Linked DNA regions of Arabidopsis thaliana. The protein of the gene in region 1 purifies or fractionates together with the protein of each later gene. This does not show direct contact. Each region holds a gene or a part of one and is shown on either strand. Other genes may lie near its edges.

Region 1 (6,265 bases):
AAACGTTACGTTTATGAAAAAGATAAAATTGCAGTATCACTCGTCAAATTCTTGCTTGGAGTATAGTAATGAAAGAATCATAAACATAGCAACGGAATTTGCTAAGTGGATGACACTTTTTGGAAATGTCACTAACTTAGTGAGTGAACTAAATCACATTTTAGTGCAATATGTTATCATAGAGTTACGTGAGAATCCCTATCAAAGCTAACACTTAGCCCATGATCTAGTTAGGCTGTTATCTCCAAAATGTGAACAAACACGAAGATAGCTACAATTTTGTTTGTTTGGTCCAATTTTCTCATTAAAACCTAGACTTAGATCTACAATCATCATTGGAAACTACGTACAGCCAAATGAAAACCATATTAATGTAAGTTGGGTGTGGCTTATATTTATGAGTGATCGATGAAATCATAAATGCTTTACATAGAGTAGAAATTGCTTCATGAGCAGGGAATAGAGAAGAGATCTCATCAAAATCATTAAAGACTTAAAGACTTTGGTATATATTTTGCATGTGGGAGAAATATCACCTTATAGGCTTCTCATATTAACTCAAAACCAATCATTATCTCCCCACCACATTTATACCTTTGACCTCTCACATGCTTCCTCTTTAATTATTCTTCCAAGTTAACATTTTCACCAAACGCAAACGCAACCACAACTTTAACCGCTCTCAAACATCTTGTTGATGGAGATCAAATATAATTTCTGTTTGATGAAATTTCTTTCAGGTTATTGCAGGTGTTAGTAGCTACATTTGAATCTTTGTAACAAAGTCAAATACCTAAAAACAATAAAGAAGGTGATCGTTCATATCAGTTGCAGATGCGTGACTCTATAGCAAGACATGCAAGAGTGTTCACATTACACATTTCACTCTTTTCAAGATATTTTGAAATTCCTTCAAAAAAAAACCAACTGTACATTTTCATTAACACAAATTACAAACTAAATAAAGCCGAATACCGATTAAAAACATAAAAAAGGAAAATGAAACACACTTAAAAAGAGTTTAAACAACCTTCTTTCAAAAAAAAACCTACTAAACCGGACCAAAGCACAAACCGTACTAAGAGGGATTAAAGTAAATTAACAACCAAATCTCATCGCTAATAACATTTATGAAAAGACAAATTTACCCCTTATACCGGTACCCTAAATTAACCGCCGTGAATCAGAAAACTCTCATAGATTGAGTAGATCCGGCGGACTTTGAACACCAGACTTCGGCGAAAGCTCACTCTCCGGCGCTGATTCCGTCATCGGCTGATCCTTCGACGGTGGCAACTTCGGGATCTCAGTGAGAATCTGAACAACTTCTCTCATAGTCGGCCTCTCAACAGCTTGTTCTTCTACACAGAGCATCGCTACATAGAAGACGTGCGTCACTTCATGAATCGGAATCGAAGAAAGTCTCGGATCCAATACTTTCAGAACCGAATCCTTGTTCGAATCAGTCATTTTACGAACCCATTGCACTATATCGACACCGTCTCCAAATTCTCCGACAGGTTTTCTTCCGGTGACGAGTTCCAAAAGAACCACACCGAAACTATACACATCGCTCTTCTCATCTACCTTCAACGTATACGCATACTCTACACAAACACCAAAACAGAGCAAAAGATAGTAAAGTTAGAAACTTTAAAGAGAAAAACAGAGCAAGAGATTGTAAAGTTAGAAACTTTTTTTGAAGATTTTAGTACCTGGAGCTATGTAGCCGTAAGAGCCAGCGATTGCAGACATACATTCAGAAGTACCGGAATCTTGAAGGAATTTAGCGAGACCAAAGTCAGCAACATGAGCTTCAAAGTTTGAATCAAGGAGGATGTTGTTTGATTTGACATCTCTGTGAACGATCAATGGAGAACAATCGTGATGAAGGTAACAGAGTCCTTTAGCAGCTTCAAGAGCAATCTTGTAACGTGTGTCCCAATGCAAGTGTCCTCCTTTCTTACCGTGAAGCACCTCACCGAGACTACCATTAGGCATGTACTCATAGACAAGTAGATTCGTCTCGTGGTTTGAGCAAAATCCGAGAAGCCTCACTATGTGTCTGTGTCTTATCCTTCCTAAGGTTTGAATCTCTGCGTTGAAGCCGTGATCATGGGAAGATCCACGAGACATTGCAGCGAGTCTTTTAACCGCGACTAGATCACCATTAGGCATTACGCCTTTATAGACAATACCAGCTCCTCCTTTGCCTATAATGTTGTCTTCTTTGAGAGAATCCAAGACATCGTCACACGTGAAGTCTAGTCTCTGGAAAGCTGTTAACCTCCAAGCCCGTGACTCACTCGCCTTTTTCAATGATCTAGCTTTGATTATGGCTACTACCGCGAACGCAATCGAACAAACAAGTAGTCCAAGAACAAGCAATAACTTCATAGAAGCTGATAAAGGTCCTTTACTATGACTCTGGTGACCTCCTTTAGCAACACCGTCTTTACAAGGACCAAGATAAGGACCACAGAGATCAGGATTACCCAAGAACGATGTGTAGTTGAAGTAACTGAATTGTCCTGTTCCCGGAACTAAACCGGAGAGGTTGTTGTAAGAGAAATCAAGAGATGTTAAGCTCTGCATTGACGAGATTGAACCAGGGATTGATCCAACCAGATGGTTTCTCGACAGGTTCAAGTAATTCAATATCTTCATAGCAGTGATCTCATTTGGGATTTCACCGGAGAGCTCGTTTCTGCTCAGATCAACAAACGTTAAGAGCTTGCAACGACTAATCTCCGGCGCGATTCGACCGGAGAACAAGTTGTGGCTGAAATCAATCTTCGAGAGCTGCTGAAGCTTCCCTACCTCTGAAGGAATAGGACCTTGGAACTTGTTTCCATCAAGAAGAAGTTTCTGAACGCCGGTGAAGTTCCCGATCGCCGGAGGTAATGGACCTGAGAGCTGGTTGTTTGATAAACTGATCTGACCAAGATTAACAGAGACACCTCCGGCGACTGGTAACTCTCCGGAGAGATAATTATCTTGGAGCTCCACTTGAGTTAATTTGGGTAATCCGAATAGTCCTTTTGGGATTGACCCGTTCAGGAAATTCTCACCCATTCGGATCCGGGTCAAAGACTCACATTTACCAAGAGAATCAGGGATTGAACCAAAGAGAAAGTTTCCAAGAGTGATTAAAGTTTCTAACTTGTTACCGGAGCACATGTTCGGCGGTAAAGTTCCGGTCAGCTTATTGGAAGAGAGATCGACGAGATTTAGTTTACCGTTTTCTCCTAATTTCTGCGGGATGCTTCCGGTGAAATTGTTCTCCCAAAGCTGTAACACTTCAAGCTCCGGCAAATCTCCGATGAACTCCGGTATCTCGCCGTGAAGTTTGTTACGGAAGAGATTCAAAAGCGTGAGATTCTTCAACTCTGCGAAACTCGCTGGAATCTCTCCGGTGAACATGTTGTTAGACAAATCCATTGATTTTAAACTCGATAGCGTTCCTAGCTCCCAAGTTAATGGACCGGAGAAGACATTCACTTGCAAGAAAAGCGTATCGAGTTTCTGAAGCTTCCCAATCTCCGGCGGAATCTCACCGGTTAATCCGCAATTAGCTCCGTCGAATCTGACTAGCTCCGATAGATTTCCGATCTCTGGAGGAAGACCGTCTTCGAAAGCGTTGTAGTAGCCGATGTAAAGCTCCCGGAGAGTCGTTAGGTTTCCGATCTCTGGAGGGATTTTCCCGACAAGCTCGTTGCCGGAAACCGCTAGATACTCAATAACTGGCCAGCTTCCGTACGAAGGCGGGATCTTTCCAGCGAAGTAGTTACCACCGAGGTGAAGGTGCCGGAGCTGAGTCAGATTGGTGACGGAAACCGGTAAATCTCCGGTTAGATTGTTGTTGTAGACATCAAGAACTCGGAGATTCACCAATCCAGAAGAAATCTCATCGGGAAACGAACCGTTGAAGACATTGTTCGAGAGATTTAAGTGACGAAGACCGGAAAGGCTCGAGATTTCCGGCGGAATCGGACCGGAGATTAGATTTTCAGCGAGTGATAGATTCTGAAGAAGACGTAAATGAGAAACATCTGGGGAAAGAGTACCGGAGAGGTTGAGACCGGAGAGATCAAGAGAAGTCACGTGACGGCGAGATACATCGCACGTGACACCAATCCATGTACAGAAGCTTGTTGAGACTTTCCAGGAAGAGAGAGGCGAGTTTTTGTCATCTCCGGCGCCGGTGAGAGAGGTTTTGAGTGAGAGGAGAGCACGGAACTCGGAGATTGGTCGGCTTGCGGTGAAGGTATGAGAAATGTGGAGAAGAAAAAGAAGGAGAAGAAAAAGTTTCATTGTTTCTCTCTATCTCTCTTGTGTGGGAGAGATTAGGGTTGTGAGATGGTGTGAGTGTAGAGAGAAGGTAAGTGAAGACGAAGAAGAAGATGAGGAAGGTGTGAATTTGTTTTATATTCGTTCCACTTGTTTTTGGAATTGTATATAGGTGCCACGTCAGATTTGTGATTTTATTACATTACTAATCATAACACTAAAAAGTAATTGGAGGTAGACAAACACAAATTACAAAATCAATAATACTAGTGCTGATTTGATAAAACAATCAAGTGATAGATTGCAGAAGAAACGATATTTGATAAAACAGTAAAAATAGCCTGATACTAACATTTGAAATTCAAACATTTGCAGATAATTCTGATTCCAACACATCATATGCTTTGACGAAATGAATATTGTATTATTTAGAACTTTGTACGATGGAGAATATACTATTATTAGGGAAAGGTTCATTTATTTTGTTTTGGAGTCATGTTGTTCTTGAAACATTTGAATGGTGATGTTCTCAAGTATTGACAAATTTCCTTTAATTTCTCATTTCATATGACCACAATATACATTTTCTAAATAATCATGTGTAATGTACTAATAAATAGAGTAATTTTTGTTTTATTTTGAGAGACACAGGATAATTGTATGAGCATCCAACAAAATAAATGTAGAAAGATTAACTAAAATCCCTCAAAAGATACAAGAGGTCATATTCTTAATCGTATGGTTTTATCGGAAAACGACAAAAGCTAAAAAGATCGTTATTGGTAATCTAATCCTATACGTAATAAGTTAATTGATGCTTTAAAGCGAAAAAACCCAATAATTAATGTAGATGAACGGTCCAGATGCAATCATTCCAATGGATAGTCAAAAAGTTTACCACTGTGGAACCCACTCTTTAAAAGAGAGGTTTATGGTAATTGGGCCGTATGAATTGGGCCCATGTGTCTGTAAATAAAATAGTGAATTATTATGTTTTTTTTGTACTTGTGCCTTTTTGCATTAACAATGCCACAATGGGGTCGTATTTATTTGATTTGGTCGATATATCAAAGAAAAAAATCAAATGAATTAATTTCACTTTCCAATATATATATACGAATCCAGACGACATATAAAAAATTCATTTCTGGAAACATAATAATATTTCTAATACAAAAACCAGCAAAATCTGTTGAGAAGAGCAAAATATAAAAGTTAGAAAAGCAACATGAAAGTAAAAAAATATTTAGACTTCCTTCTTTTTGTATAGTGTGAATTGACTTTAATTAATAAAAAAAAGTGAAAAAGAAAATTAAAAGAGATTGAAAATGATTGATAATTATTAGAAAAAGTTATAATTTTGCTGGTGGTAGGAAATTAACCGAAAGTTTTGGTCAAATATTTATTTTGACTGAATACATTCTTGACCATGGAACATCTACGTAATTACATCTTTTACCACTAAGGAGCTCTTTGGACTTGAATGGACTGCTCGTTCGGTTGCTATGAATTGACCAAATCAGCCTTCGAGTCCAAACCAGAGATTGTCGGTTTTGGGATAAGTATCGAAAAGACGAAAACACCCTCTAGCTCGTTGTTATTAATGCAGCCGTCTGGACAGAGGAGACTGGGGGCATGATCGTAATCGTGTGTCCAGCTAACGAGGTTTCTTTGCCGGTTGCTACAGTTCACTGTCACTGATCTATCTATAATCATTTCTGCATTCTCGTTTCATCTATAAGTATTTGTATATATGTAAATATTAAAATACTAGTCACAAATTTATATGAATTTAACCATACAATTGTTTTGTAATCTTCTTTTTAGACTTTGATAGGGAGAATAATCAACCTTCTTAAGCAAAATATCATACTCAAACAATGTATTTTTATTAGATAAATTCAAATAAATTTCGAAAAATTATTGAGCAAGAATTATTGACAATCTGATTTGGTAAGCACGTGTGAAGGGAGCT
Region 2 (5,297 bases), 5.8 Mb from region 1:
TGCTCCTATAATAGAATTGTTGTTGTATCTTGAAACAGGGTTATCTTATGTGAATGAGACTTAGATCTTATATTAAATCATTTTTAAACTCTTACACTCCAAAGACTCATTACAAACCACATTAAAACTATGACATATATGAACAAGTAAACTCTTACGGTTAGTAGTCGTATCTCCTTAATATTCTCAGATGCAAAGATTACAAAAACGGAGAGCAGTCTTGTTCTATCTCCCACTACTAACCGGTCTACGGACAAAGAACTGAGAACGTGTACTTGTTCAAGGAATCATGGATGGTCACAGGACCAGGTAATGTTGATCTTGGACCAGAGATTAGTGTTCTGATTGTGGTTGCAGTTATGCACTGCAACAGTCGTCCCATATAAGTTAGTGACTACAACAATGGAACAAATGCTACGGGGGAGGTTGCAGAAGTAAAGTAAGCCCTTAGCTACTTCATGTGATGAGACTTTACCATTTAATATCAAGTTTTGGTTCTTTCAATGGTGTTATGGTCTTTCTTGTTTTAATGAACTTAAGAGGACGAACCAATATATCGAGTCCACAACAAAAAACGAAGTTCCATTCTGTTCTATAAAGGATAACTTGAAAGGTTACATTGGGAAAGTTCATCAAGAGAAACTGAAAACCAAAAACAACTAACAAACAAATCAGCAGTTGGAGAAGAAAAGCCTTAGAAACATGCCCTGCATTAACTGCTTCCCAATTCCGTAAAGTGTTAATGGAAATTCCTTTGCAGGTTTCTCTCTCAGTCCCATGTCAATTCCCTGAATTGGTGGAAGTAACCGATCTTTCAATCTTCAATTGGAGAACCATGGTAATCCAGACTGAAGGCAGTTTTGTCCCTCCGGTAAGGGAACTATAGGTCCCAAGAAGAGACGCCATAGATCAAGAATGATTGTTACCAACATAGCAGCACCCAAAGCATCAACAGCCACTCGAGATAAATCCCATTCATCAGTTGATTTCTCATCCATCCTGCAAACAATGAATAAAACATATGAAAACAGATAGACAACAACTCGAGGTAATCAAATAGCAATAAGAAGGTGAGACGGAAGCATATCACAGAGACTGTTCAAAGAACTCCTCAAGACACTTGAGAAAGACCTGGTTCTCCATTTAAGTCTTTAATTCCTATATTTTAAGACTCTCAAGAAAATTCAATCAATTAATCCGGTGTATCTAACAACTATCACTTGTCTCAGTTTTGATATGCAACAGTCATGAAGGTGAAAAGATTCACTGCTTCTATGAGATGATAGAAAACTATGCTTTCTTTACCTGAAGAACATTGGGAAGCTCACAATGAAGTAAATGGCATAGAAAAGACATCCAACTCTGTACATGGCACTTCGGTCCACAAACTCATAGTAAGGAAACTGCACAAGTTTGAAAACAAAAACAGAACATATGAGCGGTTATTGTCAAGTGACTAGTTTCTAAACAAGATTCTAGAATGATTAAGTAGATAAACGTAGTCTTTAAGCAGACTATAAGAGGAATTTGTGATATATGATAAAACACCAAGTAGAGAGCTCTTTTTATAGGAAATTATCAAAGAAATGTAGACATCACAACGTACATTTGCGATAGCAATAGTCTCCAAGTATGCAATGAAATAAGAAAGCGCAAGTATCCATGCAGCCTCAAAACACCATTTCAGAGAATCTGGTAAATCAGCAGTGGAATGGCGTAGCCTCCGAAGAGTAATGTTCGATGCAACGTGGTAAAAGAGGAAGCAAACATGTGTTAGGAAGAATGTTGTGTGAGGCACCTGTTCAACACAAAACCCCTGCCATAAGCTCATGGAAACAAGAAAACTACTCAATAGAACAAATCTGCCGAGATAATGCTGTGCTTACATTATTCATTTTCCATGATGGAAAAGTATAGGACGCTCCAAGAACTTTAAAGAAATAGTGAGTCCAAAAGTAGTTTCCGACATAGCTGAAAACAATTATCCAGAGATTTGCCTGTGGTAAAAACATGTTCCAATCAGTACAACTATGGATGAGATCTTGAGAACTCTCACCAGTACTCAAGGAAGTTAAAACAAGTTCTAAAAATAGTTTGAAACTAGAACTGGCAAGCCAAAATGTCATGCACATAGAAAAAAAGCTTGCCTTAACCCAATAGCGGTCCTTCCAACATAAACTTCTGTCGGCCTGAAAGAATAATGCATATATTCTGAGTCCATATGGTAAGGAAAACAATAGAGATTTGCATTCAATTGGAAGCAAGTAGCTAGTAGACAAACAAGTATAGCACCACGAACACGTTAGCTCACAGTGAAAGCAAAAGTTGTCAAAAAGTAACCTTTCCAACGAGTAACATGGGTATAACGAAAGCAGGAACAGCTGAAACCAAAGCTAGAAGCAGATACTCCAACTCCGTGAATGTCTGCTAGTTTGCAAAGTAACTAACACTTATTAGTACTTCTTCAATACCACTTAAAAGACAACTTCATACAACAGTAAAATTTTCAGATCTCTAAAACACTGACATGGTAAACAATGAGACATCATTTCATAAACTTTGTTGATCTAATTTAGCAGATAAAAAAAAGTGAATAGCTACTTCAACTCTGTCTCATCGTCTCCTAAATACATCAGACACTTAAAAACAATGCTCATTTGATGATCGCATAGACCTCGTAAAGCTTGTAAGGAACAACGATGCCTAAACAGAGAGTGAGCCAAAAAGGAGTGTAGAAGAGGAAGAAGAGCTCTCCCCATCTCTTGCTCGGATTCGGTGCCAGCCACAAGCTCGGTGAAGAAGATCCTATCAAATGTAAATCAAAAAAATCAGGGAATGGGGACGAGAGATTCGAATCAGAAGAAGAAGAAGAGATCGGCGATAGTTTTACCTGACATAATCGCTCCGCCGGAGAATCTTAGAAACGTTGACTTGAGTAGTGTGAGTGAGTGAGCCGAGATTTTGTGTACGGGCGACCAAATAGATCCCAATCAAGCTGACGTGGCAGATGTACTCAGTGATGATGATTTTGACGAAAGCTAGATCCGCTCGCTCATCGTTCCTATTATTTTACCGTTTATTATGACATCACCTCTTTTTTCTACTTCTTTGTTGCTAAATTGTTATATTTGTTGTTCCCTTTTCCCAACATAAGAAGTGGGCCTATGTTAATTTAATTCTAAAATAATATGTAATCTAATTTTATTTTTTATTGTTAAATTTGATTTTAAAAAAATGTATATAGCAAATTGAAACTTTTGAGGTAAAGAGTTTATTTATATTTTTAGAATTTTCAAAAAGCAGATGTATGTGATCGTAAAAACGTTTACAATATATGTAAAGTTGGAAAAAAAAAAGCTTATATTATGTACTATTTTGAATTTTATAGTATTATTTTGCATTTTTTGGAAAACTCTTTTATTAATGTTAAGAATTTAGAAAAATACAAAAACTTATTAATAAATAAATATACAAAAATTATCAAGAAAGAAACTAATGATGTAGTATTCATTCATATCTTTAATAACCAAACATTGATGGAGTTTGGCTTTCAAAAAAAAAAAAGAAAAATGTGGGTTTTCAAGAGTTTAATTGTCTTATTGACGAAAAGTGAATGTGGTCTAGTGGTATACTGATATTCATAAGTCTACCATAAACTAGCAAAATCTTCAACCTCAGTACTTAATATCAAATTAAGTTTCTTAACACTAGTGTTAATTGGACAAATGACCGGTCCATCGTGCCTTAAAACCGAAAAAATGTGTTAGACTCTACTTATTCTATGTTTTCTAGTCCGCTTTTTTTGGTTCACTTGACCTAAAACATAATGGTTTGTTGGAAGTATTATATGATATTTGATTTTATGTAATTATGAAAAATGTGCGATATTAGATGTGTAAGAAGAAAGACTCGTTTTCAGAGTTGGGTGTGTCACCAACCCCAGGCAGGTTGTTGTTGTTCGAAGGGCAGGCCTTTGTAGTTGTTGGCACAGTTAAGGGTAAAATCGTAAAACGGTGAAAGAAAACATTGGAAGCATCGAATCCAATACACGCACTTCAAAAAGAGAACACAACTCCACCGGACCAAATCTAATTCTCTTGTAAGAGACGACGACGACGAACATGGCAACGAGCAGTGCGGCTTCTGTTGATATGGAAGATATTCAGACTGTTGATCTCATGTCTGAGCTTCTTCGCCGTATGAAATGTGCCTCTAAACCTGACAAACGTCTCGTTTTCATCGGTACAATCATCTCTTTCGTTACCTCTGAATCTTTCACTCAATCGGTACTTTAGGTTTGATCTCTGTGAAAATTGTGTAGCGAAAGTTCCGATTTTTATCTGTTTTAGTGTGTAAAAATTGCATTTTGCTGTTATCGTTAATGCTTTATCTGATGATCATAGCGAAGGGATTGTGAATTTGTGTTTTTTGGTTCAATAGAAAGGAAGAATTGAGTTTTGGTTCATGTATGATTTGGAATTTGCAGGTCCACCTGGTTCAGGGAAAGGTACACAGTCTCCGGTCATAAAGGATGAGTTTTGTTTGTGTCATTTGTCTACTGGTGACATGCTTAGAGCTGCTGTTGCTGCTAAGACTCCTCTTGGTGTGAAGGCAAAGGAAGCAATGGATAAGGGAGAGCTTGTTTCTGATGACTTGGTTGTTGGTATCATGGATGAAGCAATGAACAGACCCAAATGTCAGAAAGGTTTCATTCTTGATGGGTTCCCGCGGACTGTGACTCAAGCAGAGAAGGTTTCTGGTTCTTTTCTGTGGTTAGTTGTTTGTGTATCTGCTCGCTCTTGTAAATGTTCTGACTTTTTTTGTTTATAAATCTTGTAGCTTGATGAGATGCTTAATAGAAGGGGAGCTCAGATAGATAAGGTGCTTAATTTTGCGATCGATGATTCGGTTCTCGAAGAAAGAATTACTGGAAGGTGGATTCACCCTTCAAGTGGAAGAAGCTATCATACTAAATTCGCACCTCCTAAAGTTCCAGGAGTCGATGATGTAAGAAAAACCATCAAATTCTGATTCATCATTTTGACTTAGTAAATCGAGTTCTCTCTTGTGATTTGATCTCTGTATCAACTTCGTTGTTTGTTAGCTGACTGGAGAGCCATTGATTCAACGTAAAGATGACAATGCGGATGTTCTTAGATCAAGGCTAGATGCATTCCACAAGCAGACGCAACCGGTATGTTTCCTTATAGTACATGAACTTGAGGACTATCAGAGAATTTGACATTTGTTCTTGTTGTTGTTGTTGCAGGTAATTGACTATTATGCGAAGAAGGAGA

The links.
Region 2: the proteins of BAM1 (region 1) and CPI1 purify together in Arabidopsis thaliana (affinity purification with western blotting, with the first as the bait; one study listed by BioGRID). This does not show direct contact.

Annotation. Positions count from the first base shown.
Region 1 is NC_003076.8:26,279,875-26,286,139, reverse strand, and holds BAM1 (Leucine-rich receptor-like protein kinase family protein), read right to left. Parts: upstream 4,430-6,265; 5' UTR 4,315-4,429; coding exon 1,716-4,314; intron 1,608-1,715; coding exon 1,195-1,607; 3' UTR 1,175-1,194; exon of another isoform or gene 1,049-1,174; 3' UTR 727-1,048; downstream 1-726. UniProt on the Arabidopsis thaliana protein: Necessary for male gametophyte development, as well as ovule specification and function. Involved in cell-cell communication process required during early anther development, and regulating cell division and differentiation to organize cell layers.
Region 2 is NC_003076.8:20,509,456-20,514,752, reverse strand, and holds CPI1 (cyclopropyl isomerase), read right to left. Parts: upstream 3,087-5,297; 5' UTR 2,898-3,086; coding exon 2,891-2,897; intron 2,806-2,890; coding exon 2,675-2,805; exon of another isoform or gene 2,425-2,674; coding exon 2,341-2,424; intron 2,190-2,340; coding exon 2,148-2,189; intron 1,998-2,147; coding exon 1,887-1,997; intron 1,799-1,886; coding exon 1,607-1,798; intron 1,404-1,606; coding exon 1,306-1,403; intron 1,000-1,305; coding exon 927-999; coding exon of another isoform or gene 822-926; exon of another isoform or gene 789-821; coding exon 672-788; 3' UTR 504-671; downstream 1-503. Other genes in the region: AT5G50370 (Adenylate kinase family protein), read left to right, coding at 4,122-4,242, 4,487-4,752, 4,840-5,007, 5,105-5,194, 5,270-5,297. UniProt on the Arabidopsis thaliana protein: Converts pentacyclic cyclopropyl sterols to tetracyclic sterols.